3 linked regions of the Lonchura striata genome follow. The protein of the gene in region 1 binds, or shares a complex with, the protein of each later gene. Links are inferred from orthologs where the notes say so. Each region holds a gene or a part of one and is shown in the gene's direction. Other genes may lie near its edges.

The links.
Region 2: PPP4R1 (region 1) and PPP4R3A share a complex: the UniProt entries of both Homo sapiens proteins name them as parts of the PP4 complex. The link is inferred for Lonchura striata from reciprocal best matches to the Homo sapiens genes PPP4R1 and PPP4R3A.
Region 3: PPP4R1 (region 1) and PPP4R3B share a complex: the UniProt entries of both Homo sapiens proteins name them as parts of the PP4 complex. The link is inferred for Lonchura striata from reciprocal best matches to the Homo sapiens genes PPP4R1 and PPP4R3B.

Annotation. Positions count from the first base shown.
Region 1 is NC_134603.1:51,770,906-51,778,672, reverse strand, and holds the start of PPP4R1 (serine/threonine-protein phosphatase 4 regulatory subunit 1), read left to right. Parts: upstream 1-4,750; 5' UTR 4,751-4,915; coding exon 4,916-4,922; intron 4,923-5,196; coding exon 5,197-5,241; intron 5,242-5,336; exon of another isoform or gene 5,337-5,387; coding exon of another isoform or gene 5,388-5,436; intron 5,437-7,767. UniProt on the Homo sapiens protein: Regulatory subunit of serine/threonine-protein phosphatase 4. May play a role in regulation of cell division in renal glomeruli. The PPP4C-PPP4R1 PP4 complex may play a role in dephosphorylation and regulation of HDAC3.
Region 2 is NC_134608.1:16,529,687-16,536,772, forward strand, and holds the start of PPP4R3A (serine/threonine-protein phosphatase 4 regulatory subunit 3A), read left to right. Parts: upstream 1-4,076; 5' UTR 4,077-5,087; coding exon 5,088-5,229; intron 5,230-7,086. UniProt on the Homo sapiens protein: Regulatory subunit of serine/threonine-protein phosphatase 4. May regulate the activity of PPP4C at centrosomal microtubule organizing centers.
Region 3 is NC_134605.1:27,037,259-27,044,587, forward strand, and holds the start of PPP4R3B (serine/threonine-protein phosphatase 4 regulatory subunit 3B), read left to right. Parts: upstream 1-4,319; 5' UTR 4,320-4,567; coding exon 4,568-4,709; intron 4,710-6,020; coding exon 6,021-6,076; intron 6,077-7,329. UniProt on the Homo sapiens protein: Regulatory subunit of serine/threonine-protein phosphatase 4 (PP4). May regulate the activity of PPP4C at centrosomal microtubule organizing centers.

The DNA of each region.
Region 1 (7,767 bases):
GCCAAGAGCCCCGGCAAGCTCCAGGTGCAGCCTTATTTTCGCACTAGGTGGGTATTTCCTAGTTTTAAGAGGTTTGATCATCACTGAACTTGCCACAGAATTTGATGCTGACCTGGAATGATATTAGGAACCCACAAGACAAACTTTATATTAACCAGGCTCTTTCGCAGCAAATTTAGGTGTTAATTTATTAATGGTTGGCATATTGTGTGTTTAAAATCCTTCTGCAAGGCCTTATCTGAGAGCAGTGGTAGCAGAACTTTAATGCTAAAGTCACCAGGTTTGCCAGTAGTCACCAGCTCAAACTCTTGCCCAGGAAACAGCAAAAATTAAAAAAAAAAACAAAAAAAAAACCAAACAAAAAAAAAAAACCAAAAAACTGAGTGATGCAGTTAAAAAGTTTTGTAACCATAAGAAATACAGATATATAAAAAAACCCAACCCAAACCAAACAAAACTCCACCCCCTCCAGTATTTTTATTGGAGAGGGAAAAAAGAACAAGAGTAGGAAAGGGAAGGGAAGGGGAAAAGAGAAGGAAAAGGGAAAGGAGAAGAAAGGAAACGTTTCCTGGTGAACACCTCTTTTTAGCAGAAATGCTTTAGTATATTTTCAAATGCATATTGACTGTAAATGCCAGACTTCAGCCACTGGGTTTTCACATGCTTCCATACATATTAAAGTTATGTGTGTGCTTCTGTATGTATATGTATCTTAAGCTGTATATTTACTTATGGGCCAAATTTGGTCAAACACTCTGTAAAGAACAAAATGGCAGTCCAGAAAGCAAAGAGGGAATGGTTGAACCATCAAGGACAACACATGCAGGCAGATGGAATCCTGGGGGTGGCCAAGAAGACAATGAGTCAGGATTACTCAAGAGGATAAGCAGCTGCCTTGGTGCACCAGCAGTCTAACCCTGATCCATTTCTTGATAGGCTTCACAGGAAAAGAGTTTCACAGAGAAATCCAAAGGAGGATGGAGAGATGTCTGCAGATATTTATGGGAAGCTCTTCCCACACATGAAGGTAGCCTGGGAGAAATGCAAAGCAAGTTAATACATGGACACTGAAAGCTGACACTATCTGATCAGACCTGCTTCTTCAAGCAAATGAACAAAAATAGATAATACCTTAGATAATAAATAAAATAACATGGGTGAGTTCCATGTGGAGCAGTGTTTTTGAGCCTGAGGTCCTTAGAACAGTTTTAAATGAAAAGATGTCACCAATCAAACTATAGAATAACTTACTGCAAGTATGTCTAGGTGGATGTCGGGTATCTTGTGTACAATGTGCAAGTATGAAAGGATTTATATAGTACTTTATGTAAATACTACACTTTATGGAAATGTCTTGCTGATTGCTATGGACTTTTTTGAGATACATCCTGGAGATAACAATACAGGTGTCTTTTATCATGTGCAAAGGATCTTGTCAAGGAGTCTTCCATTTGTATCCTTCCATCCCTAGCTTGAAGCAGTGGTGTAGTGTTTGTAGTGTGGTTTTTCCTTGAGATAGAGTGTGAGAATGTGAATTTATCATTCTTCAGTTCTTTACTTCCCAGTGCCTGTAAGGGTACTTAAGCTGACTATAAGAACTCCAGCAAAGTCTGCTGGAACGTTTTGGTAGGTACTATATTATGTGCTCCTTAACAGGTCTCGTCTAAGAAAACAAAGCTGTCATGAAAAATTTTTTCCATAATTATGTGTGCTGGTTTGGAATGACCCCTCATCTGCAAGAGCCAGAATGTGTCCTACACTTACAAGGCTCTCTGTCTGCCTCATCTGTGACCAGTGGCAGGGAATCTTACCATCAACTTGAACTTTGGATCAGGCCCTTGAAGAAGTACCTCTGGATTTACTGAGGACAAGTTTAGAAGAACCTGGTTACTTATTTATTAAATGGGAATGTTCATTGCGTCTTGGTGCTAAGACTTTTTTTTTTCTTGTTTTAATTAAATTATTTTCCCCCACCATGAGTGTTGTGACTGTATGAGCCAAAGGTTTTGACAGAGTTCCTACTCACAGAGGGAGAGACCTATCCTGATGGCTCCTAGTGATGGTGCTGTGCCTGAGGAGCAAAGTCTAATGCTGTAGAGGTAACACCAAGCACAAAATCCCCTGCAATTCCCGGACAATTATAATCTGTAGCACACTGATCCTTGTTATCTGCGCTATTTAAATACCACATGGTCCTGCCGACAGAGAAAGAACCAATGACCACTGAAGATCACAAGCACATAGGAAGTAATTTAAAAGTAATTTGTGTGATCTTATGTTCAGTATGACTGCTTGCAACTGTCATTGCTTTATTCAATAAATTATACATCCTCTCTTTAAACAAATACATAGAAATTAAAAAAAATCCTAAATACTCTAGAGTATTATATATGGAGCAGTAATTAATTGATGATAATTAACACTATTAATACATTTTAAGAGCAGAAATTCTGGTCATTGTAAACCCAGTGCTCACAGATGTATCTCATTAAGTTTTCCTTATGATAATAACTCTAATAATGCTTAAGGTAACTTTGATGCTCTCAGATCACAGTAATCTATGGCTTGTGAGCATTAGTGCCTTTTCCTAAATGGTTAGAAAAAGGAGTCAGACCCCCTTGATTCATTCAGTAAAATGAAGTGCATCAAATTATAGTTGTGAGAGAGATTCTTAGATTCACTTCTACTGAATTCAGTGGGAGCAAAACTGATTGTAGTGAACGATGCAGAGGAGATGTGAGAAAACTTCCTGGAAATAACTTGCAGTTACAAAGATAATAAAATTATGTCTTGAAGTACACCTTCTGTTTTAAGTCTACTTTTCTGTTTTAAGTCTACTGCTATCTTACCTAGCATTGCCAGAGATTTGTGATGTCAAATATTTCTCCTGAATCCCTTCTTAAATTACACTGGCAGAGAATAGCATGGTTCATATAACTTAGTCACGGTGAATTTACTTGATTTACTCAGTATTTTGAGGTTATATATCTGAACAAAAGAAAATGTTAGATAATCAGTATCCAGTAGGTCCTAGTGGCTCATCCAAAGATTGAACAGGTGTCAAATAGGACAGAGCTTATTCTACAGGATTGTAAGGAAAGAGATGTATGGATTTTAAAAGAAGATTACACATTTTCATTCACCATGGCAAAGAGAATGAATGACTATGGAGATTTAATCCTTGTACAATTCACCAAATAAAACAAAAAATTGTTAAAAAGCAGCTTACAAGACATACTATCAAACACACAGTTAAAAATAGTGCTAATGATATTGCATCTTTTTTTGCAAGCAAAAAAAATTATTTTGCTTTTCTTTATTTTTGCTTTTTGTGTATTAACAACTTCATCAGTTATTATGGAGGTTCAAAACAAGACTGTGGAAGACTCAGGTAATATGCCCACATAGCACTGGTACCAGTAATGGTCCTTTCCTCTATCAAATGCCCAGGTTATCAACTGAATAGAGCGTTTATTTCATCCAATTTACAGTGTGGAAAAATCTATTAAAACAGTTGAATGAGAACCATCAGCAGTGACCAAAAGGTACAGCCAAAAAAGCAGAAAGGCATGTGCACCTTTGTGTCTATGTACAACTAAACTGCCTGTTTTTAAAGCAGAAGTCGGAAGGCACAGTGCTGCAGTGGGGCAATATCCTGGGTGTTCAAGCCATGGGATCCCAGCTGCAGAAACTTGGCAATTCACATGAGAAGGATGCTCGTGGGCTACGCAGTGGTGGTGGCACAGCTGCCTGTCACAGAAGCATTAGGGTTGGAAAGGACCTCTGGAGACCATCTGGTCCAAACCCCCGCCAAGCCACGGTCACCTGGAGCAGGTGAAGCAGGAACACATCCAGGTGGGGTTTGAATGTCTCCAGAGAGGGAGACTCCATGACCTCCCTGAACAGCTTGTTCCACTGCTCTGCCACCCTCAGTGTGAAGTTCTTCCTCATGCAGAGGTGAAACTTCTTTGTTTCAGTTTATGGCCATTGCTCCTCAACCTGTTACTGGGAGCCACCCAAAAGAGTCTAGAACCATCTTCTTACCATCTGCTTTTGAGATAGTTATATGCATTAATGAGAACCCCTCTCAATCCTCTTTTGACTAAACATTGCCCGGCTCCCGCAGCCTGTCCTATGAGAGAGGCTGCAGACCCTTAATAATCTTTGTGGCCCTCCACGGAACCCTCTCTAGGAGCTCCTTGTCTTCTTTGTACTGAGGAGCCCAGAACCGGACACAGCACTGCAGATGCGGCCCCACCAGCGCCAAGCAGAGGAGGAGGACCACCTTTCTGACCTGCTGGCCACACTCTGCTCTCTGGTAGGTCCCGGAACCCTTCTCCCCAGGTAACCCCAGGCGCCGGCGGCAAGAACTACTGCGGCCCCGCCACCGCGTCTGGAAGCGACCCCACAGTGACCAGGGCGAGGAGCACCGTCGGGGCCCTTCCTCCAAGTGGCCCCACCAACTTTGCGCAGCGGAGCCCGTCGGTGGGCGGCAGGAGGAGCCCGAGCCCCGAACTGGCGGAGGAGCGTGGAGGGCAGGTGAGCGCGGGCCGGGCCGTGTGGCCGAGCCCCGGCGCTCTCCAGCCCCAGGGCCGGCGCGGGCGGCTCCGGCCGTGAGTCAAGCGCGCCGAGGGTAGGCGCGGCCGCCCGAGCGAGCAGCGAGCGAGAGCGGCTCCGCCGGGCGGAGGCGGGGGCAGCGTGTCCGGCCCAGACCCCTCCTCCCGCCTTCCTCCGCCCGCTCCCTCCTCTCTCCCTCCCTCCCTCCCTCCGTGCGCGGCTCTCCCGGGGACGCGGAGAGGCGCCTCCGGGCCCAGGGCCTGGACAGCACGGGTGCCCGCCCTCTCCCACCGCCGCTCCCACCGCCCGGCCGCGGGCTGGATGTAGCCGGGCGCCCCGCGGGGGCTGCAGCAGCAAGATGGCGGGTAGGCATCGCCCCCCTCCCCCTTCCCGCACACGCCGCCTCCCCGGCGAGGCGCCAGCCCTCCCTCCTCTATCCCCCTCCTTCTCCTCTCCCCCGCCCCGGCTTCGGGAGCGCTGCCCGCCGCTGTCCGGGCTCGGAGCGCAGGGGCTGCGGGGCGGGTCGCTCGGGGTGGGGGGGGGGCGCAGCCGCGGGCGGGGCAGGGTCACGCGTGGCACCGAGGGTCGGCGGGAGCACTGGCACATGGTGCGCGCGTGTGTGTGTCTCCCCCACCGCAGATCTGTCGCTGCTCCAGGAGGACCTGCAGGAGGAGATCGACGGATGTGAGTGGGGACGGGGGGAGCGGCGGGGCGGCTTTGGGGCGAGGAAGTGGCTTCCGCGGGGAGCGCCCAGGGTGCATTGTGGGAGGCGGCGGGGAGGAGGAGGAGGAGGAGGAAGCCATGGCCATGCTCCGCGCTTGGCGGTGTCCATGACCCGGTCCCGGTCGCGCGTGGGGCTGCGCCGGGCGGTCCCGCGGGGTGCGTTGGGCGGCGGGCGGGGCGGCGGCGCCGTTAGCGGCCGCCCCGGAGGGAGCGAGGGAGGGGGACGGAGGGATGGAAGCAGGGGAGGCTCTGCCTGCGGGGCGGCGTCCCTTCACGGCCCGGGCACGGCGTCCCCTCACGGCCCGGGCACGGCAGGGCGCCGGCGGGGAGGAGCAGGAGGAGGCTAAGGCTGCTGCCTCTGCAGCAGCATGTGGGTTGCTCGTTCCTTTTATATCTCTATTTGTATATCTTTTTTTTTGTGTCCCCCATCCTTCCTTCCCTCCACCCCTCCCCCTCAGGCTCTCTCCTCCTTGTGAAGGGTCTGGAGCACATGTCCTGTGAGGAGCTGGGGGTGTTTAGCCTGGAGAAAAGAGGCTCAAGGAGGGACCTTACTGCTCTTGGCATCTCCCTGAGCGGAGGTTGTGGCCGGGTGGGGGTCGGTCTCTTCTGCGGGGAAAGCAGCGATAGGAGAGAGGACATGGCTTCAGGCTGTGCTGGGCAGGTTCGGGTAGGACACCAGGAGGAACTTGTTTTCAGAAGGGATGCTTAGATACTGGAATTGACCGGCTAGGAGCTGGTGGAGTCACTGTCCCCAGAGGTGTTTAAGGAAAGTGGACGTGGCGCTCAATGGCATGGTCCAGTCGACAAGGTGGCATTTGGTCCCTGGTTGGAGACGACGATCTCTGAAGTCTTTTCACACCTAAATGATTCTGTGAATCCTGACCCTGCTGGAGAGATCTGGGGAGAAGAGTTAATGTCAGGGTGCAAAGTCGTAGAATTGTGGCTGGGGTGGTGCAAAAATTAGTAAGTCAGGGCTGAGTAGCCTTAGCATGGCAGACTAAGATGTTACTCAGATGAGAAGGTGTCTGTTGAGCGTGTAGATACTGAGGGAGCTTCTTGGAAGCAGAGGAGGATGAATTTTGGGTGCAAAGTGAAAATGGAGGTAGAGGCAGGCGCCTGCTGTGGGTGTGCAGACCCCCTGGTTGCTGCCTGAAGGTGTTTTGTTGGCTGTGCAGTCTGCAGGGCATCCTCTCACCGGGGCTGGAGTACAGGAAAAAAACTTGTGTTTTGTGGCTTACATTTTTAGAGAACAGCTATTTAAACTTTTCAGGATTTAACTGATACATCTTCTTTTTCACATTTGTCAGCTGACATTTAGAAGGCTCCTATTGTGCTTTGCCTTGCACAAAGAGGGAGCCTTTCCCTCAGGCTGCTTTTTTTTTTTCTAATTCAGCGTGATAAGTCGCTGTTCGAAAACTCTCTGTGATTATAGAGGACTTTTTCAGAAGAGTCACACTTAACAAAAAAATGAAATGCATTCTTAAGTTTCCACTTAGATTATGGTTTTAGTTGACTATAAGACAGTAGTTGAAATTATCTGTAGTCCTTGGAGGGGTGACAGAAGCTGTGGGTTCCTGGTGCTGGTCTTACTCTTACGGTCTTCAAAAATGGAAAAAAATGAATACTTCGAGATATGACTCAGTCCAGATGAGAGCATCCTGAAGGCAGAAACCATAGAAATACAAAGATTTGAAACCTCATTAAAAATTACTGAGGTTTTGATGGAAGTAGATAAAAGCAAATGTCTCAATAATTATGCATGGTATTTTTGGAGGAAAAAAAACAGGACTCTCTATGAATCAATATGTGCTATTTGGATGTAGTTCAGTCACACAGTGACTTTTATGGTTCTAAATTATACATAATTCTGTTCTTGGGTGGTGTCTGTGTGCTAAAGAAAAATAAGATCAAGGAGACTGTACATATCTAGTCAAAAGTACTGTTTCTTGTGCAGTATTATTTTAAATAGCTATGTTTTGTACCCATATACAACATCTTTTGCACAATTTCCAGTTGATTGGTTGCACATATGAAACAGACAATTAAATAAGACACAAAGTTTTAGCTCCTGCTTGAACCCTACCCTACACTATTCCTCTGTTGTAAATATTTTAAATGTTTGCAGCTCTTTCAAGTAGCAGAGTTAGACACCAGTTTAGCGGTGTATTACTGAAGTAGTAGAATGCATTCTGCTACTGAAGTAGTATAACACTAAAACTGAAGTGCTGGCAGCTTTTATGTCTGTGTCATTCTGCCAGCTGCATTCTTGCTAAAAGTGTACTAAGCTATACTTAAATAAGAGAGAAATACTTGCAGGCATACCTGTGGTCCTGGTTGTGTAATTTAGGAGGAATTAGATAAATACAAAATAGTATGATTGATTGACTGGCTATTTTGAAAAGTGAACTATGTTCTCAGTGCATTTTTTGGGCTTTTAAGGGATCTGATATCAAGCAATATTAAGACATCTGTGAGGGTTTGTTGGAG
Region 2 (7,086 bases), on another chromosome or scaffold:
AATTTGTTAACCATGAGGACACCAGAATTATAGAATGTGGCATTAAAGCTACTTTTATTCCTGATGTTACATTCTTCCACAGTGTGCTAGTTTACAATCTGTCCAAAAAGCATATTATAGGATCTTACAGACCCAGAGCAGTATCAGAAGTTTGTGTTTGGTTGCTTGTTTATTATGCAGCCTTGCTTCTTTCAGAGCTGCCTTACTATTTATTCCCATAGATGTGACCCTGTGTTTGGCTGTATCCGAAAGGTCCTGTTAGGACCACAGCCTGACTGCCTGAGCTGCTTATCCATCAGGTCTTGAACAATCACTATTTACAGCTCAAAATTTTATGTGAAAGTGTCATTGCTTGCCTTAAATTACTGGGAGGCACTGATGAGCTCACAAACATTTGTAAAGCTGGAATAAGCCGGAAACAGCTGTCAGTAACCTTCCCAGCTGTCCCAGGCTAGGATATTCTTTCTACATCAGCACCTTCAGGAAGTGAAGCTTTCTGTTTCTGACCCTTATAGCCTCATCCATTTCTTGCCATTCTTCCAGGCTCTCTGAGTCATACACAGCTTTTATGCACAGAGATTTTACATTGACTTTCCAAACATTAAAAGAAATCCTAACTACCATCAGTCCTGCTCTTGATTTCTCACAATCATCTAGGATCATCTCCACAGATCAATAATTCCTTTTGAGCTATACCAGTCACCTCAAATGTGACCCATGCAATGTGAGCTTTCTTCACAGAATACAATTTTAACTTTCCAGAAAAATACCTGAGAACTATCCATGTATATCTGCTCCATTACGCTTATGAGCAACATTGTAATTTAACAATAAATTAAATTTTTCTTGCTAAAGCCACATCAGCTGCTACTGCTATAAGCCCATCTTTATTGCATTCTGTGTGAGCATTTATTGTCTGTGACTGATGTCAGATAAATCAGCCTACTATTACCTGGGTTCTCACTTGTTCAGTTTGAATACTAATAGTCAGTCTTCATGTCTTCCAGAATTTCTGCAATAATTTAAGCTTTATTAAAAGTTAATAATGTTTCATACTTCCTGAGATCACACACACAAGCCTCTTTAGGACTCTCAAATTCAAGTTTTTTAGGACTTGTATACTTGAATAAGTTTCTCTCTAAGAGAAATTGTTTAATATCCCTCTAAATAATGACTAGGAAAGAACTTAGTCATCATTGTATGATACAAATATATTGCACATTCTTTCAAGTATAAAATTTATTTATTAAACAATTCCATTTTTTTGGTAGCAATATCAACATTTTTAAAATCTTGATATAACAGGCCTATAAGAGTGTTAAGATTTAGGAAACATGAGCTGTTCCTAAAACTACCAACCATGCAAATTTATTGAAATCCTTATCCATTTTTTCTGTGCTTCATAACTTGTAATGATTGCTAGGTTTGCTTTTTGTCTACTGTATGTATTTATTTTAAACTGCTTTGTTTTCTTCCCCACTAAACTAGAAATATATTTTTTCTGAATCTCCCCTCTTCTTGATCACAATATTCTGACTCCTGTACAGACATCTTCTTTATAGCCTCCCCCTATTATGATAATTTTTCCATTTAATTTTTTCTTTGCACTCAGTCATTCATTTTCCACAGGTTTTTGGGGCACAAGTCAGAATACATGCCTTGGGAACAAGAAGACATAGAGAGTGTCTGCGTGTGTGTAGTATGGATTGTAACCTTGTTTGCACATACTGAGTATAGCCAGATCTATATACTCAAGCAAGTACAGACTTTCATTCTAGCAATAATCTTCACCATAATAAAGTATATAATAATAAAGTATGAATTATACTTTATTTATACTCTATTTATACATAATAAAGTATGAAGTTGTTAGTTTCCCTAACATTTTTTTTTCTTTTAGAAAATAGTTAGCTAAGAGTTTTAGGAACTCTAATAATGCCTTAGTATATAGAACCAAATTTATATGTGTGACCTGAAGTTATTCACAATAACAATGCAATTTTCTTTCCCAAAATTATTACTAGACACTGAAAAAAAAAGTTATCTTGTTCTTTATTCTTGACTGCTGTGCAAGAATATGGTAATCCCATATTTACTATGGTAAACCCAGTTTAGGCTTATTCCTATTGCATTGATCTATGTATAGTTACTTTCCTAGGAATATGAAAGTTTAAAACAGTATTCAACATTCCATTTCATCATTTATTACTTGGTTCCTGATGGGCAAAAGTTTCTGTCAGGGCTAGGTCCTTTATTATTTCTGGGAACTAAAAAGGTTAAACATTTAAACTCAGTGTTAATAACAGCCTCTCCTCATGCCTGAAGATATTTCCTTCTAGACACAAACTTTCAAACGAGTAGAAATGGAGAGAAGGCATTGAGGTGTGACCTGACAGACTTGCTTTCAAACTCATTATTCCAAGAAAAATAAACAGAATGTTTCTTTCTTTCCCAGCTAATTTCCAGCATGGGAAGTTGCTCTCAATGCCCAACCTTTTTTTCTGGAATGACTGGGGTAGAAATGTTAGGAAAAATAAAACTCCCTTGCCAAATATAATGAGAACTGGGTTAAAACCTGACAAGTAGGCACTATTGTCGGATCGAGCATTGTTCAGTTGTTCAAGATAACTCAAGGCCCATTAAAAGAAGCTGAGCCCAAAATTTGCATTAAGCAAACCATGCAAACTGAAATCTGATTAAGTTCTTGTTTTCAATTCACAAAAAAACAAAAAATTAAAAAAAAAAACTGCAGTGAGCAGTGCGGTCTTTACTTAATCTGATGGCCACAAGAGGGTACAATTTGTAAATGGTACGTTAATATAACAGTCCTACAAGAGTTTTCTCTAAGTGACATCAATCTTTTCTGAAGTCACAAAAATCCATCTCCAGGTTGGCCTGAGGGAGATTTTGGCACAGCACCTGCCCAGATACAGCTCCTTGAGAGCTGCCCAGGAACAGCCCCTCAGGAGCTGCCCAGGCCTGTGCGCGTGCTGTGCGGTGCTCCCCTTCAGCCAGGCCCACAAGCCACAGCTCCCGGACACCTGAATCTCTTCAAACCTGTCGCTGCTTTGGCCAAGAACACCGCGCTGAGAACAAGCACAGCGCGCCTTCAGCGATGTCCTTAGGCACCCAAACAACCCTCTCAAAGGTTCTTGTATTCTTAACCAGCCCTTGGGCATCAGAGCAAAGGCCAAATGGCTGTGTCTGGGCACTTCAGGAACCACAGAATATTCTGATTTGGAAGGGACCCATCAGGATCATCAAATCCAAGTCCTGGCCCTGCACAGGCCACCCCAAGAGCCACAGCATGTGCCTGAGAGCATTGTCCAACGCTCAAGCTCTGCCAGGCTGCTGCTGTGACCCTGGGATCTTGCTCAGGAAGCTGCCTATCAATCCTGCTGGCATTGTCTTTCAACAGGCCAAGCAAAATAGAAGATGGACAAAGGAAAACAGGACTTGACTAGAGGATTCCTTGTGATACATAATTAATCCTGGTGAAAGCTGCAAATGTGTTGTTTGGGCTCAAACCACCCTCAATACAACTCACTTTGATAAACGAGTATCAGGACTTACTCAAAGGCATAAAATAATAGAGTACATATTGCAGTGAGCTCCCATGTACAGTGACTATCTATAAGGTAGTGTGAAATGGACTCTTCTGCAGTGGCGCTGCCGGGTCCCAAATGCACCAGCGTTTTCACATATTTTAGGGAAATCTGTCAAACATATGCTCAGATATTGGCAGCAGCCGTCAAGCCTCGACAGCTTCTGATATTGGAATTCTTTTATCCCATCTATGACTGCGGAGATCCAACAGATATTCACCAAAAGCCGTTTAACTTTGGGATCACTCGGCAAGATGTGACAGGAGAGAAAAAAAAAAAAAAAAAAAAAAAAAAAAAAAAAAAAAAAAAAAAAAAGTCTAAGAAAACGTCAACTCCGGGGCCCGCCGCGCCAGCCCCGGACCCGCGGTAACGGCGCTGCCACGGCCGCATGCGCGTCCTCCGCGCGGGGCCGCTGGCCCTTTAAATGCCGGCGGGCGGCCCGTGCTGCCGCTGGCTGGGAGACCCCGCGCCTCCAGTGAGAGGTGAAACCAAGATGGCGGCCGCGCACTGACTGAGGCGGAGCCGGAGGGAGCCGGGCCGCACCAGCCGCTGCCGATCGCCCCCTCCCTCCGCAGGGCACAGCGTTTCTCTGCTGGCCGGGCCGCCGAACGCCTGGAAGCGCAGCCACATCTCAAGGCGCGCTGGGGAGTCGGGACTGAGCCGCCGCAGCACCAGGAGGAGGAGGAGGAGGAGGAAGAAGAACATGGCGGCGGAGTCAGGCTGGGAGTGAAGCCGCCGCCTGCGACCGGAGCCCATGGGGAAGACGGGGCGCTGAGCTCGGCTGGCCGTTCACCCTGTCCCCGGACGGGCAGTGTCCGCAGGCCCGGGCAGCCCGGGCGGGAAGGAGGGCGGCTCCTTGGAGCCCCGCGCTGACGGACGGCGAGCGAGGGGCTTCGGGCCTGGGCTGCTGCTGCACAATAGAGCCGGGCTACAGGCCGGGGCGAGCGGCCCCGCTCCCGGCTGCGTCCCTTCCTCTGATTCCCTCCGGCCTCACCAGCTTCCCCCCTGTTTTCCTCGGCAGGGCTCCGGCTTCCAGGAGCGCCTGCTCCTGTCACGCTGGGCCGGCTGCAGCCCGCCGCCGCTTCCACTACCGTGGATCCCCTTCTCCTCCGGAGTCCCTCCTTCGCCGCCTCTCCTGCCTGCCCTTCGCCCTGCAAAGAGCCTCTCTCCTCTCTGCGGCTCTCCCTGCCTAGGTTTACTCGCCTTTTGTGCAGCGCCTGACTGTACCTGAAGGAGCAGCTCCCCTTTTCACATCTTCACCTCTTGTTTCTCCCTCTTCCCCAATCCTCTTGTTACCCTCGATAATGAGGATCCCGTTGGGGCACTGAAGAGGAGTAAGAAGAGCTTGCTTGGCGTGCCCGTGTGGGGCTGCTGCCTTCTTTTCCGCTCGCCTCCCCTGAGGGGGGCCTGGCCCCCGAGCAGCCTTGTGCTCCTCCAGCGGTTGCCAGCCAGAGTGGTGGCTGCGGTGCGGCAGGCGGCAGGATGACGGACACCCGGCGGAGGGTGAAGGTGTACACGCTAAATGAGGACCGCCAGTGGGATGATCGAGGCACGGGGCATGTGTCCTCTTGCTACGTGGAGAGGCTCAAGGGCATGTCCCTGCTAGTCAGGGCAGAGAGTGATGGTAAGTGTACGGCTGAAGGTACAGTCTTTCCTCGTCCTGCCCAGGAAAGGAACTGGGTGTAGCTTTGTGTTTGTAGCGTTAATGTTTTGCTGCATAATTCAAATGGTATTCCTAAAAGCAGGCAGGCACTAACCAGGGTTCATTCGTGCTAGGCCAAGTGAAAGAAACAGGAGATTGCCATCAAGTGTAAGCATAGTAGGCACTTAGTGCGTACACAGTGTTGCATGCAAAATGCGTTCGAGTCTCCTTGTAAATCTTGCATGGGTTTGGATATCTACTGGTCTGGTTTCAAAACTGATCCCTGGATCTTGCTGGAAGTGATCCTCTCATGAAAGTTGTTCAAAACTTAGATCTTGGGTTTTAGTATTTGTTTTTAAAAGATCGTTGGATGGCTAATACCCTTTTGTGTCCACTTGCCCTTTTGGTAGCTTTTAGAATTATGTAAGACATTCTAACAGCTATCAACGGTTTTCAAAGTACAGTTATGGTAGTAAAGGCAATACAAGGGGCAGAACAGCATTTTCAGTGATGCCTTTTTTTTTTTTTTTAATGGGATGGGAGTACTCAGTCCTTCAGCAATTGGTTTCTGGTAGCATATGTCAGGAGTATATGTTAAGAGTAATATAGCCCTGTAGCTACATGTTTGGGCTAGTCTTGACTATTGGTTAAGTGAGTTCATGACTGCTGTGATCAGAGATTTAGAATGTGTACTTCACAGTATCAGCCTTGTACCGTTTTGCTTTTGAAGTCTGTCAATGCATGACTTACTACTTCATTAGATGTATAGCTACTGTATTTAGTGACATGTAGATCTAGTTATGCTTTTGACTGTCAACAGACCTTGTAATTTTATTTATTAAGCTTTTTTATTGTAGGAAGTCGGATGAGAAGCAACTTGAGAATCATTAATCCTTACTTTTTGGGAAAGTTCTGATAAACTGTACAATATGTAATGCTTACAGCAAAGATCATAAACTGATATGGAAAAATCAGTCATCTAAGCAGGATTTTGATAATTGGGTGTCTGATAAGCTCTCGGATCTCACAGATTTTTGATTATACTTTAACAGGTTACACTGGCACCTGATTTTTATTTATTTTACAGCAAGGAAGATACATTTAAATCTTGAGCAGCTTCATATAGCAAGAGAAAGCATTCAAAATGGAAATAAATTTAATTTAATTTCAACATGTGGAGGGAATTAAAAAATTTATCACTAATTTTCTTTGCTAATTTTTACAGTATGTGTTGTTGTAGATACTGTCCTGGCTGTTGGGGACATGTTTAAAAACTGTTCTCTCCTATATATTAAAAATTTTCTGTTTTTTAAAAAAAATTTTAAAAATTCTTTTTTAGAAAAGAAATCGAAAGACCTGCAGCTCCTAACCTCCTTGTAAAGAAATAGCTAATTTGAACTAAAATCCATTTATTAACTTTTAGTGGGATATGTGTGCTTCAGTCTCATTAAAACCTGAGTTGCACTGTTGGTGCCAGCTCTCTTGTAAATAAATGAGCATCTGTAAGAGGGAAGATACAGACTGGTACTAAAAACTAAAATTAAGTCATTGCTTTAGCTGGCATAGCTAAGATACTCTAATCAAAGCAGGAAATGTCTCAAACTTACTAATTGCACCAAATACACAGATATTTATTTGGTAGGATATACACTTTAGACCTCTCTCTACTGCATACTTTCTACTTCAAAGTATTGAATAATACAGTTAAAATTCTTTATATAGTAGGTAATATCAGTCCTGAGTAAATGTCCACTCTAGTAATAGGCTAGCTTTTCTAACTTGCTTGTGTAGACACCTCATAAAATTTGATTTATATTTTGTTTACTCCCACTGTTGTTT
Region 3 (7,329 bases), on another chromosome or scaffold:
CAAGTGACCTTTGCTAGAATTTCTACATGTCCTCACAAGAATCTGAAGGTGGATGGTAGTAAATCATATTTATAAAATAGATACTTATTTATGCTTAAAGGTGATGTAGAACGTCAAGGCCTTCAAGTTGATTAAAAACTTGAAAATAAAACCAGGAGCAAGCAGTGCCCTCATCTTGTGTAGCAAGGTTGAGATGAGAATACAAGAACATGGAATTCTGTAGACTGAGAAGATATTTCAGTGCTAAAGGTTATTCTCCTTTGAGTTATCCACTCAAAACTGTGAATATGAGAAGTAAGAACTGAACAACTCTTCTGTGGGAGAAAGAATTATCCTGTATGCTTGGTCAAGAGTCACACTTGGCCAAAGTTTTATTGGCTTTTCAGTGCACAAGAATGTTGAGCAAGTCATAAAGACTTAGAAGTGTCACCTTTAACATGATGGACTCTGTTTTAGATTAATACATCACTCTTAAAATGTTCAGACCTGTAGCAGAATATATCTCAGCATATGTGAGCAGAACTTGGCTGAAACATCACCCCTTATCACCTGGGTTCATTAGCACTGACTTTTAAAATGCATAATTAAAACATTAAAATTAAAATACTTTTTTTGGAATGAACAATTATGTGATAAATCTTTCCCTGAAACACTCTCATTAAGAATTTCTTAGTCCTATTAATTACATTGCATCAGTGAGTTCACTGATTTATTTTAGACTTCAAAACATTTCCCAGGGGCTCATGAGAGTGACTCGTTTTTCTACTGTGAGGTACAGACTTTGAAAATCAAACAGGGTCCTTCTGATGTTCACCAATTTGTATGCAGGACTAATAAAATCAACTTCCCACCTGGTGGCAGGTGGGCTCTGAACCACCTGAAAGAAAAAATAAAGCATGGGGGAGAGAAGTGGGAATGTACAGTAAAAAATTACTCCTTTTTTAATTCTAACTTAAATATTAAAGAAAGAAATTACTGGTATGCTGCTCTGTAGTTGTTCCTGTCTTTCATGATGTAAGATTGAAAAATAGAAAAAGTTTGGAAAGATTGACGAAAGATTTCTTTGGCAATCTTTTCTTCCTCTTTGAAGGCTGTGTCTTATTATTTCTTAGTAAGAATTCAGATGTCACTTCTTACTGTGACAGTTGACTGATACATGATTGTTACATATGAATAGTGTTAATAAAATTATGTAGGTCAATGTTAAAGTCCCTGAACAGAAACTCAGATGTTGCCATTTCTGGTGACTCTTCCCAGAAATGGACCTCCCCAATCTAAGTGGATTTCCAAGGTTTATCTCCCCTTATTGTAGACTAATTTCTGAGAGGCTGTGTTGTGGAGCTGGTCTCAGTAAAGCAGCTACTGCAGTGCTGGGGCATTGTCTGTTTGGTGGATGATGATAAAGGAGCAAAATTACCTTAATGTTGCTGTGGCAGAACCTGTACAGTCAGCCTGACTTTCTGCATCTGGAACCAGCTTTAGGCCCTGTGGGAAGGGGCGGGGGAAGAGCACACTTGGGAGCTGGCTGGGAGGAGCAGAAAGCAGCTGCTCTTACCTGAGGAGAGAAGCTCAATGGCAGCCAAGAGTTGAGTAAGCGTGTGCTGCTCTGACCCTTCCTGGAGGGAAGGACATCCCAGGCTCTCCTAGAGCCGGTGCAGGGCCGTGGCAGGAGGAGCTTGACTCTCAGGTGGGATCAGCTATGATCAGAAACCAGGTGAGTCCAGAGTGCTCAAGAGAACAAGCTCAGTGATTTATTTCTTCTTTCTTACTGCTCAACATAATTAGCTTCTGTAATGACCTGTCTTAAATGGAGCCATTGAGAGAAATTGCCTTGGAGAGAAGCTGGGCAGGTGCAGCATTGCAACAGCTCAGGAGGGCCAGAAATGCCTTTTATTTGACAAGTCTGAAATTTTCGTGCAAGTGCAAAGAGTCAGGAGCTGGTGTGTCTTCAAATGTCAACAATATATATTACAAGTACTATCATAAAAGTGTAAGAGCTGGCCTAATTGTACTTCTGGGATCACCTGCCAGAGGGAATGATACAGTCTCTTAATTTCACTCTAAGAAATTTTAAATTATTTAGGAATTAATTGCCCATCTTGCTTGGGAAAACAAAAAAAGGCATTCCACAGCTCATGTAGTGACACTTGTGAGTTGCTCTGTCTTCTGTCCACCCTAACGAAATCCTTTGCTTTGATGAAGAACAGAGAATTCTCAGCATTGATAACTTGATGGTGGTAATGGGGATGATGAGCTGCTGGCAGGTGCACTGTGGAAAATGTTGCTTTGCTTTGTCTTAAAGAGCAGAGGCTTGGATGCTTTCCTGGTCTTAGCCTGGGTTTAAATGCAGTATGTAACATTTGTTGGGGCAAGTATTGCATGTTTTGTCCAGGAAAGGCCCCCAGAATTGACTTGCTGGTTCTGGGTACCAATGGCAGGGTCATCCTGGGCTTTACAACCCCCTGGATGCTGTTTTGGGTAGAGAGAAGCCCCACATCTGAGTGAGCACAATCCCAATGACTTCTGGAGTGATATTTTCCACAGAAGTCATTGAATTCATGCCTGGAGAGATCATAGATTTATTTCACAGCTGAAGTGTAAGAAATAGTTTTTCATGCTAGTTCTGATGCGCATACCTCCTTTCTGTAATTCACCATAAGAATTTGCTCCAAAATACTATGCTGTGGTTTCTTGCTGTTTTATATATCCCGAGAAGTGCTGCATTTAGTCATTAGTAGGAGTCATGCTTTTATTTTTGTGCATTTGATTTGAAGAGCCAAAAAGCACGCACAGAAGTCATGCAGAGGGGAGAGGGAGTTCATGAGCAGCAGATGTCCTGAGGCAGAAATATGTTGTGGTCATTGGGGTTTGTGTTCCTATTTGTGTGTTTGCTTTTTATTGAGCTTTCTCCAAGGTAGAAATATGCTCAGTTTGTAATGCCTTGTGAGGAAGGCTTGTGTGGAACCTGACTGTAAACTGGTTCATGTGACTCTCAGTCCAGGATTTTGAAACCACTTAACACGGTCTTTTTATAGTTACTGACTCACTTACCCATAATGATGCACATGTCCCAAGGTGTGCTCCTATACAGCTAAACATAAATGTATATTAAAATTCTAAGAGTTGTATCTTGTATTTTCTTGGTGACTGCTACAATGAACATCAGAGCAAAAGCTGAGACTTGAATGTTACTTAGATGTTAAGTTTTTTTAATCTGCCCAGAGAATGTTTGGAAAAGCTGCAGGTAGTTACTTTGAGGACATAGTTTGGGAAGCACTTTCTTTCGCTTGCTTTGGAGCCACATTTGAATTTGAGAGCATAGAAATGCCAGTCGTGTGAATAAGGGCCATACCGGTGTAACTGCTTTCACCGTGAGGCAAGAGCCAGGAAAGTCTGACTTTGTCTGGGAATGAGGCACACCCTGCCCTCAGGAGAACTTGTCCTCCCTCCTTCCTCTTCAGAGCTTCAAGAATTTGGTTTGGAGACACACTCAAGCTTCCCCTTGTCCCCAGTTTCTCACTGTTTCACACAGCTTTACTCCTTGAAAACTTTTGGGTCGTTTTTCCTTATTCCCACGCAAGCACGGAGATGTAATTATTTATTTGTTGTACAGAGGAAACGTGTAGATGGTTTTTAGTGTGAAAAACTTAACAGGTACGGACTCCGCGATGCTTGGCAAGTGGTCTGTGTTAAACTGTATGCTGTGTATAAGAGCTAATTAAGCACGTTTCTCTCATTTTTGAAGATTCCCCAGCAGTTTAGCTTTCAAGCCTTCTGTGGAGATGTACCAAGCAGGCACAGACAGCGTGTTACAGTATGGCTGCTGCTGTAAGGAGTTGCTGCTCACTAACTTTTTGCCGTTTTGTGATGCAGGGGACACCTTTTGTTCCTAAAAATTGAAACTGTTTCAGTTCTGTGTGCTGTTTAAATTTACCCTGGTCGGGTATGGAGCGCGCCCGTCATTTTGTGTGACGGCCGTGGGTGGCACTTTCTGTGGCGTGAGGGACGGAGGCGTGTTTCGTCAGCGGTGGCGCCAGCCTTTAGACAGACTTAAAAAAAAGAAAAAGAAAAAAACGAAGAATTTTTTAAAAAAATTAGTTTTTTTCGGGGGAATATGTGAGCAATTCCCCCTTTAGGGCGTTAAAAGGCAAGTGATGCGCCCATATCCCCTGCGGCGGTCGGCAGCCGCCATTTTATCCCCACCTCCCGTTCCCGCCTCGGCGCCTGAAGGAGCGCGCGCGGCCCCGCCCCCGTGGCCGCCGTCCCGTCGGCGGCGCGGCGGCAGCGCGCGGCCGCCGTAGCCCCTGCGAGGGGAACCCGTGCCCGGGCGGGGAGGAAGAGAAAGGCGGCCCGAGCCGGGTTACAAGATGGCGGCGGCGCTGTAGTAGCTGCCGAGGCGGAGCGGCGCCAGCAAGGCCCGGGCCGGGGCGCGGCGGCGCTGACTCGCCATGGGAAGCGGCGCGTTAAAGGCCCCGCGGTGCCTCTGAGCGGCCCGGCGGCCCCGCTTGCTCTCCGCCGCCCTCGCTCCATCGCCCCCGCGGAGGCGGAGCGGGCCCGGGGCTGCACCATGTCGGACACCCGCCGGCGGGTGAAGGTCTACACGCTCAACGAGGATCGGCAATGGGACGACAGGGGCACCGGGCACGTCTCCTCCAGCTACGTGGAGCGGCTGAAGGGGATGTCGCTGCTGGTGCGCGCCGAGTCAGACGGTGAGAGCGTGGCCGGGGCTGCCCAGGCCGCTTCCCCTCGCCCCCCGCCCGGCTCGGGCCCCACCGCCGGGGCTGCCGCCCGCCATCGCCGGGCTCGGCTGATAGTGCCTTCCCTTGGATCACGCACGAGGATTACTGTTGTTGTTGTTATTATTTCTACTCTCCGTGCCTTCCCTTGTCTTGCAGCTCGCGTGAAGTTTCCTTACCACATAAGCCATAGCAGCGTTTGCTACTGTGGTCCTAGACTTTTCCCCTCCCAGTTGATAGAATTATGAGCTGGAAGGGACCCATCAGGATCATCAAAGTCCAGCTCCTGGCCCTGCACAGACCTCCCAACAATCCCACCCTGTGCCTGAGAGGGTTGTTCAGGCGCTTCTGCAGCTCTGGCAGCCTCAGGACCATTTCCTGGGGAGCCTGGGCAGTGCCTGGGCAGTGCCTGACCACCCTCTGGGGGAAGAACCTTTCCTTGATGTCCATCCTAAACCTTCCCTGACTCAGCTCCATGCAGCTCCCCAGCCTGAACAGAGATGAAGCTGTGACATGTGAGGACATTTTGTTCTCTTTCAGAGCAATAGCCTTTGCTTTTGAGGTGTTCTAGTCTTCCATTTCTTACTGCTGTGAAGAAGTTGTTTTGCTGCCCTTTTTCTCCTCAGGAATTCCCTGGTTGTATTCCAGTCGGGTGGCATCCCTTGTGTTTTATTGCACTTTAAAGTCACCTTAAAGGGTCTTTTTTTAGAGCGGGGAGGTATATGCTCCCCACTTTGTCAGCAGACAGGTGCTAATGTGCTAAATAAACCACCTAAGATTAGTATAAATTGCTCTAGAGCTGTTGCCAGGAGACATACACTACTTGCATACACAAGATGAAGTCCCTGCATTTGTAGTAGCTGGATGATTTACCTCTGAAGGGCAGCTGAAGGGAATAAAAGCAAGTGGCCCATGTGGCTTCTCTGGACAAAAGCATTTTTTATGCTGGGCAGCACATTACCTGCTGGAATTTGCATTAGTTGGCCTAAAAGACCACTAAAAAATCTGGTGCTTGCACCAGATTTCAGAAGGAAAAGAGTGCTACAGTGGATTTTGGAATAAACTAGAAGAGAAAAATGTATTTTAATAGGGATCTTCCTGTTGAATTTTGTCTTATCTGGCTTATTTTAGGAAATTATATTTAAAGGAGGTGGTTCTTACGGATTTTCTGTGAGATTTGGATTAAGCTGAGAGTCTGTTGGCTGGCACGTGGGCATTGGTGCGAGGTGTGTGGAGATGTTTGTTTTGTTGGATTCAGTAAATCTCTCTTCGTACCTTTTTCAGGTTCACTACTGTTAGAATCGAAGATAAATCCAAATACTGCATATCAAAAACAGCAGGCAAGTATTGCTAGGCTTTACTTTCTCTGGTTGCTGATGCTGAGGAATTGTTTTGTGCTCAGAGTAATTGCATTTTTTCAGGAAAAAAGGAAAAGCAGGAGGACATGCAATTGTTGATGGTAAAAAAATTGCTTAGAAGCCTGTCGGTGCTGAACACTTCACATTCTAGAAATTAATATGTGTGTCTTCTAGAAAAATACTTTTTGGACTTCAGACTTTGAAGATAATATATGCAATTTGAAGAGACATTGAAATCATTACAGGAAAGATAGTTGGAAACATGTATGTATAACTTTTGTCTCCCATGCCAGGCCTGAAATAATTAAAATTATCTGAAATAATTAAAATTAGGGAGGCAAAACTTTGACCAGCTCTGTTGAAGTGTATTTATTTATTGATTGAGTTATTTTTCTGGAAATAACATGAAGGAATTTGTCTTTGTGGGATTTCTTTCTTTGTTGTTGCTGTTTAGTTTTTATTTGAAGCCCTGAAAGCTCCTGTTGTCCTAGGTAAGGCCACAAGCCATGGTGAAAGTTACCTTTCCTAGGGGTAAACCTCCTGCAAGACAATGAAGTAAAATAGTTGAGAGCTGTGTTGATAAGTTATTTTTGTTTCATCCATTGAAAAAAAATCAGCTTACTGAATCTCTTCTGCTTTTATTGTTTTCCCTTTTTCAGCATGCATTTTTGATGGCTCTGCCTGCATTGTTCTCATGGGTTTTCTGGAATTTTTTCTCACTGTTTCTTTGCTCTACAGTAGAGTCTCAGTTCCTTCAGTGTTTGATACTTGTTCTTCATCGTTATGGTATCCAGAAGTGTTTCAGCACTGTAAAAAACAGTAATTTTGTTCTTCCCAAGTCACAGAGGGACACATCTCTGAGGATTTTGTTATAGTGACAAGTTACAGTGTAAGAATTTGAGAAAGAGACTTTTTATCTTGTAGACATTGGTTGGCTCATTTTAGGTTAGGCATGAGGTGGAGTTTTGGGCCAGTCTTTCCAGGGGGTGTTTGCTGTGGTTTCTGGTGTTCACTTGTTAGGGGTTGGTAGGTGTAGGCTTTCACTGGGGGGGGTCATGCTAAAGAAGGAGCTCTGCAGAGCTCCAGAAGCCAAGAGTCTTGAACTGCTTCCTGTTTACTAGAGGAAACCTATACACAGTGAAATACAAATGCAGATTTGTTGCTGTAAAGTTTTAAAATGCTTCCTTTCACACCCTGTTTCCTGAAACTACAACTGATTAATCGTAGGCCTTTTT